Linked DNA regions of Drosophila melanogaster. The protein of the gene in region 1 interacts with the protein of each later gene in a pairwise test. Each region holds a gene or a part of one and is shown on either strand. Other genes may lie near its edges.

The links.
Region 2: the proteins of RpS5b (region 1) and CG3939 interact in a two-hybrid assay, tested with the Drosophila melanogaster proteins (one large-scale study listed by BioGRID).

The regions. Positions count from the first base shown.
Region 1 is NT_033777.3:14,899,932-14,903,527, reverse strand, and holds RpS5b (ribosomal protein S5b), read left to right. Parts: upstream 1-1,964; 5' UTR 1,965-2,050; coding exon 2,051-2,575; intron 2,576-2,630; coding exon of another isoform or gene 2,631-2,648; exon of another isoform or gene 2,649-2,707; intron 2,708-2,833; coding exon 2,834-3,001; 3' UTR 3,002-3,096; downstream 3,097-3,596. Other genes in the region: VhaPPA1-1 (vacuolar H[+] ATPase PPA1 subunit 1), read left to right, coding at 1-294; VhaPPA1-2 (vacuolar H[+] ATPase PPA1 subunit 2), read left to right, coding at 3,251-3,596.
Region 2 is NC_004354.4:3,173,047-3,176,990, forward strand, and holds CG3939 (uncharacterized protein), read left to right. Parts: upstream 1-1,971; 5' UTR 1,972-2,467; coding exon 2,468-2,612; intron 2,613-2,887; coding exon 2,888-3,150; 3' UTR 3,151-3,177; downstream 3,178-3,944. Other genes in the region: Fcp3C (follicle cell protein 3C), read right to left, coding at 364-549, 622-1,232, 1,297-1,348.

The DNA.
Region 1 (3,596 bases):
CAGCTGGAGCAGTTCTCGATGGAGACGGCCCTTTCGCAGGCGGCTATTCAGAACACGAACTGGTTCTCCGGCTACCTCATCTTCGGTGCTGGCCTGGCTGTCGGCCTGGTCAATCTGTTCTGCGGCATTGCTGTGGGCATTGTGGGTTCGGGTGCCGCCCTCTCGGACGCCGCCAATGCCGCCCTGTTCGTCAAGATCCTTATTGTGGAGATCTTCGGTTCGGCCATCGGTCTGTTCGGCCTCATCGTGGGCATCTACATGACCTCCAAGTCCAAGATGGGCGACAAGGAGTAGGCGCCGTCGCCAGCCATGCAGTGTGAGTATGAATCATTGCAGAGACAGCCAAGGTCAAGAAAATAGCACTCGCGACGGAACAACTGAATCTTTATAACTTGTAGGTTGCATTGCGCGATTCGCGTCTAAGAGAATGTTGTAACGCACTTTTTGTTTGATAAACTAAGTAATAAGTTCATTTAACGCATAAACATAGAGGAGCTACCAGCTCTTCTCTGAGATGCATTTTATGAAACCTAAGCAATAGAACTCCTGATTGCCAATCCTTCGGTTTTACGAGTGCTATAGTCTCGACCTCAGTCAAACTCAAGCCGCGAAATAAACTTTCACTCTTCTCCCGCAGCCTTCGCCACTCCATTATCATCACGAAGAACAACACACATCAGAGCATTCCCCCATCCCCATGCAGACACGCACGACATCAGTGTTTGTGTATTTTTTTGGAAATTACGACTCGCTATACGCAGTTACTGCTTGCAGGAGACGCCCGACAAACCGAAATCCGATCAGCCGTAACGCTTTAAACTAGGACTTAGTTACTCATTAAGATGATAGTTGGTTAAGTTGGCAGTTGGTTTTCACGCCTCGCACGCTCGCAGTCACCAGCATCACTCAATCGACTGTGGAGTGTGCACGGTGTGAAAACGACCGTGATTTGTTTATTTCATTTCTTTGCCAAACGAAAGACATCGTGTGTGTGTGTCTGTGTTTGATTTTAAGCAGTTTGTTATGTTTGTTTCTACGCTGGCTCTTCAAAGGCTAATTTAAAATGTATTATATTTACTACCGCAAAACGATAAACTTGTATATTTCAAGCTACTGTTTGAGGCAGCAGTTGTAGATGGTTGCACAGTCGCATTATTATTATTATAGAAAGTATTCCATATTAAAACAAATAAAATATATACGTTTTGTTTATCAATATGTGTGAGAGTGTGACTACGGCGATGGCTTATCAGATATCAGAAGCACGCGCTAAAATGTTATGAGTGCGTTACACACATCATTCATACATATATATGGCACCTATTTGTTTTATAAAATGGTTCTCAGTTTGGTGCAAAAATTATATTATTAAACAAGCTTTGGAACAAGGAGGAAGGAAATAAACGAACTCAGGAACAAGGAAGAGGGATATGAATATTACGAATTAAACTTATTTGAATCAACTTTTCGTTCAGTGTATCAGTGCATAATGGGAAAGCAGCAATACTAGCAGCTTATGTTAAGTCAGCAGTAAAAAGAACCCGAGCTTTTGCTGCATTTGTTTATCCAAGCATATATGTATGGTGATGTGCATTTAAATTATGGGCACTTTTGGTTCATTCGCGTTTTCAGCGACTTCTGAAAAGGCAGTCTTACGGAACTAATTTACCAAAGTTATAAATAAACAATAATGTTCTTAATCTAAGAATAAAGTTTTTAAAAGTATATCGGTGGAGTGGACAATAAGAAAAAGTAAATGTCAATAAAATTAATGTTAATAAAAGAATTAGATCATTTGGTACCTGCCATAACGAATCCAGTTTGATAACAATGTGTAATCTAATAAACACAAAGGGCAATCCTGAAATTTGAACCCCCGCCAAAAAAAGGCCCCAAAGTTGGCAGCCCCTCGGCGCAGTGTTGCACGTCGCGGCCATTTTGAAAGTGACAGCTCCTTTTACCGTTTCTTTTTCATCCTCTTTCTTTCCGCGCCGAACGCTTCGCGAAGTCGCACGCCTTTTGAGATCTAGCTCGAATTAATTTCCCCGAAATGTCCGAGGAAGTGGTGGAGTCCAGCAGCCAGGAGGCGAGCCAGGTTATACCGCAGGAGCAGGAGGACTGGGCTGACGATGTCGTTACCACAATGCCGGCCCAGGAGGTCACCGAGTGGCCGGAAATCAAGCTTTTCGGGCGCTGGGCCTGCGACGACATCTCCATCAGCGACATCTCGCTGCAGGACTACATTGCCGTAAAGGAGAAGTTCGCCCGCTACCTGCCGCACTCCGCCGGACGCTATGCGGCCAAGAGATTCCGCAAGGCCCAATGCCCCATCGTGGAGCGCCTCACCAGCGGGCTGATGATGAAGGGGCGCAGCAACGGCAAGAAGCTCCTCGCCTGCCGCATCGTCAAGCACGCCTTCGAGATCATCCATCTGCTAACCTCGGAGAATCCGCTTCAGGTCACCGTCAACGCCATCGTCAATTCCGGTCCGCGCGAGGACTCCACGCGAATCGGACGCGCCGGCACTGTGCGCCGCCAGGCAGTCGATGTGTCGCCCTTGCGTCGTGTCAACCAGGTAATCGTGTTCGCATTCCACAAAGTCGTATGAAGTTAAAATGAGTCATTTTCAGGGAACTTCTTGTAGTTAAGAAAGTTATCTACGTAATTCTTACAGGCACTTGGACACTGCTTAAATTTAAAATAATAGGTACAATACATACCGATTTCAATGTAAATAATTAGAAAGCAGTAGCAGAAAGTTATTTTTATCCATTATAATAAGTCAAAATAGAACTTGACACAATAAAGTTAATAACTGAATGTTTTTTTGCAGGCAATTTGGCTAATCTGCACTGGAGCACGTGAGGCTGCCTTCCGCAACATCAAGACGGTGGCCGAGTGTCTGGCTGATGAGCTGATCAACGCCGCCAAGGGATCCTCCAACTCCTACGCCATCAAGAAGAAGGACGAGTTGGAGCGCGTGGCCAAGTCGAATCGTTAAGCTGCGGATTTTCTGCATTTCCATGAATTGATGCCGACTTACATAAGTTGCTATGTAATCATTTCATCTTCTAACTAAATACACAAATGTATTTTATTCCTTCTGTTTTTATTGGCATTCATTTCTACATATCATTTATATGTTCTATAAGAAATGATTATCCTGTCAGTTCGAAAAGATTTCATTCCACCGTGCCAACTTAAAATCGATTCTTTATATTCTGTTAATTCGAAGCTTTTCGCTTAAAAGATGATCTCTAAGATGAGTTTTGGATTATTCTTTATGCTGTTCGTACTGGGCGCCGCCTCGTTGGGCGCGGTTGGCATAATCTTCGCCAACGTGATGGTCAATATGGGTGAGCGCATGGGGCTCGGCTGGTTCCTGTACACCTCGAATCCCTTCCTGTGGTCCGGCATGGGCATCTTCCTCGCCTGCGCCCTGTCCGTTCTGGGCGCCGCCAGTGGAATCTACATGATTGGATGCAGTGTGGCGGGCGGCGGAGTGCGATCGCCTCGCATCAAGACCAAGAACCTGATCTCAGTCATCTTTTGCGAGGCGGTGGCCATCTATGGCCTGATCACGGCCATCCTGCTGT
Region 2 (3,944 bases), on another chromosome or scaffold:
ATTTAATGTTAGCTTACTGGCTCCGGAAAAAAAGTATTTCTCGCTTTGATTTCCTTAATTCAACTATTTATTTATTGTCAAAAATGTCAGTGTAGCCAGTTCACTTGTGTTTGGTATTGAGCCTAAAAACGCCACGCATATACTGTTATCTTAAAAAAAAAAAATACGTACTCTCTAGCAAAGAACGCAACCGGTTGGACTAATATAGTCCGGACTCGAACCAAACCGTTTGAAATCTATTAACCCTTATGTGCACACCTTAGCTTTTTTTTTGCTTTTTTTTTTAGATTTTTTAACACCATGCGCATTTACAATACAGTTGAAATTTTGTCATATCATATATTTATTTCATTTGCACAGTGCTTAACCCATCAATGGGCAACGGTAGGGAACGCCAGAGCGACAACAGTACTCCCTGCCCGCCTGCAGATTGGTATTAACCCATTGATTGTGACAGTTCTTGATGAACAAATAGGCCCGTTCCTTGTGACAATCGTGACCCAGTGCGGAGCATACTATATTTGCGGAATTCGGCAGATGTTGTACGATCTAAAATGGACGAAATGGTGAGTTATAGAGCGCTTCTCCTCATCTTTTCCTCCTCGTTTCCCCAGTACTCACCGTCTCTAGGCATTTGGTTTGACACTGCTTGCGACCGATGGCATTGCAGGGAAACATATGATCCAATTCCTGGTGGATAAGTGGCTTTGTCGGCAAGCCATTTGGGATTTGCGAGGAGAGGAAGACGCCGCATGTGCACGGCACTGGCTGATTATCCTGCACAGGCAGTCCCGCTGTCGGTGGCAAGGGAATGGTGCTAACCAGACTGCTGCTGCTCGATGGGTTTGTGCTCATCAGCGGACTCGCGGTGGTTGGCTCCATCGATCGTGTGGATCCTTCCGACGATCCGATGATGGGTGCCTCGCCAACGGTCGTTTCGGTGGTGCCATTGTTACCAATGGTTTCCGTGCTGGCTTCCAATTCGCTTGCGGGCGTTGTCATAATCACAAACTCAACGGCCGTGGGCCAATCCTCTTCGGCTGTTGTGCTGCTACTTGCAACACCAGTGCTGCTCATGGTGCTGGTTTCCAGTTTGACGGGCTTCGTCTTTATACGCTTGTCCTTGATGATGTTGCTATTGCCATAGAGCGGCTTCTTGTAGACTATCTTGGATGCCTCCAAATGGATGGCTAGCAGAAGTGTCAGCAGCAGCAGGGAATTTTTAAAGGCGCCTGATATATGAAATATATACGATATGAAATGTGTTCTTTAGCTAATATTACTTTCAAAGCTTACCCATCTTGGTATCTACGGAAACACTGAATACTTCTGCCTTTGCGCCATCCATTTTATATAAGCCATTTTCTTACTTGGCTTGCAGTTTTTCAAGATTTCGGTCTTCCATTTTAGTCGGCCCCCAACGAAGTTCAAGTTGTGAGAACCGGCAAAATTGTGTCAGGGTTAAGTCTGATTAAGCAGAATTTTCACACAAAGCGAGTGGAATTCATTCATTTGGAGGAAAGTGAGAAGAAAGAAAAAGAATTACTTCCGAAAATTATGCGTAATCAATAAACCCAAAAGTTGTGTCTTGAGCTGCACAAAGTTTACCTTACCGTTCTAAACTACTTTCCAAAATCTTTTTAAATATCCCGCCAAACTGCAATGAAACTGTTATGATTATAATAACATAATGGATAACATAAATAAACGGCCGATTAAACAGCAATTATTATCCAAATTATACAAGTTATAATATGGTAATATTAACAAACATTTCAACATAAGCAAAGCTTTGGTTTTTAATCTAATTATAGATTTAATTTAATTTTCATTTTTTGGTTTGTTTTTCGTTAAGTTAGTATTTTTTGCGCTGTTTATGGAACTTAACAGAAATACCAATCAATATTGGGCGGCCAACATTTGAAATATAAATACAGATTATCGATATGTATCTTGAACGAAGTTTTAAATGTTTGTTATTTGTTAAACTCAACAATCCTATAGATTTATGCCATAAAAATGTCAAAATTATCGTTGCTTCAAATGATTTAAGTACAAAATTCGAGTTTCGATAAACGGTTAACAGTGCCGTACTCACCACGGTGCGCCCAACAGCACGCACACACAGCCGGCTGTGGTGGGTTCGCTGGACAGGCAGTGTGGTGAATATACTAGTTGCTGGAGCTTGCCGCAAAAAAAAAAAAAAAGAAAACAAAACAGATCGAAAAACACAGCAAACAACAAAATTATACGCCATTAATTACCCGATAAACTTACCGATGGCCGATAAGCAACGGCTAAGTGATCCGTAACACCCAGCGATAAGATCCAGATAAGATTGGAATTAAATTTTGGGTTTGCCATCCGCATCGAAATCGCCGCAATCGGAATTTACTTGTACACCAGCCAACTCGCCGTTCAAGACGTCCAAGTTTTTTTTAATCCAGAAATCCCATACACTGCCAAAATGCCCGAATATGTGCCGGCACGGGGCTTCAAGGAGATGGAAAATCTGATCAAGCTGTACGAGAACCAGCGCAGCCCCATCTACATCTACTTCTACGGCGAGAAAGACAAGGACGGACGCAGCTGGTGTCCGGACTGCGTGGCGGGTAGGTGACGAATTCTCCTCGCCCAGCGGGGCGTTACTAGTCCAGTTGGGCACTCTACATTCTGCTTATCACGCTTCTCATTTGTGGGTTTCAGTTAGTTACTTTCTACCCAGCTAACTTGAGTTACTTTTGATTTGATTTTCGCTCTCCATTGAGAGTTCCATCTACATTGTACATTGTCCTCATCATTTCGATTCATTTCATCGCAGAGTTATAACATAACATAAAGAAGTGACATACATTAAGTTAATCCCATTATCGCTGATATTTTCCAGCCGAGGAAACTATCATGAGTGCCTTTCGCAACCACGCGCCGGCGGATTGCATGATCCTGGTGGTGGACGTGGGTAGCCGGGAATCCTGGATAGGCAAGGACAACATGTTCCGAAAGCCGCCATACTCGGTGGAAGGCATACCGACCCTTATACGCTGGAAGGGCGTGGAGCGCCTGGATGGGGATCAGCTGCTCAAGTCGAGTCTTCTGGAGCTCTTTTTCGAGGAGACCGATCCGAAGAAGTCCAATTTTGTCGCCCAATAAAACGCGATTTGGCTTTGGCTTAAACTCACTCCCACTCTCAGTCTCTCTCTCTATCACTCTCTCTCTCTCTCTCTCGCTGCGGCTCTCTTTCTCTTTGCTGCTTTGCGCTCAACTCGGTGGAAAGAACGAGTGAAATTGTCGTTGGGAGGGGTGGTGCTAAAAAAGGGGGGAATGGAGAAATGGGGGAGAACAGAATGAGTGGAGCATTTCTGGCTGGCAGCGCGTCGCTCGGCATTTACTCGTTTATTTGCACGCATGTCGTCGACCAGGACGAATCGTTTGGCAGAGCGCGGCTGAAAAAGGAATCGAAAACGGGGCTATAACGGTAATAGCGGCACACGCGTCCAACGGTAAACACGCGTGCCAACGCGCCATCTCGCTCGCACGCGCTAATGCCGCGATTTAAGTTTTGTTTTATTTTTTGCAAGTGTTCGAATCAAAAAGCCTAACAAAACACAAAACCCGAAACAGTTCTCAAGAAATACATAGGTAAATGCAAAGTAAGATATGTATATATGTAGCTAAACATAGCGGAAAAGCGCAGAGTATCATTGAATTTGAAGCACACGACCGCACAGTTTTGCAAGCTGATTAACTGTAAACATGCTGAACATAAACAATGGATAAAAAAACATGATAGATCCTGCCTAAAAGTGAATGGTTATAAATTAAGAATGGGCTTGCAACGGTAAATCCTGTTGCGTTTTGCTTTAACTGTTTGAAAATAAAAAAAAATATATATTTAATAATAGAATAATAAAAGGTTTCGTAAGTAAAGTAACATCAAAACTAAA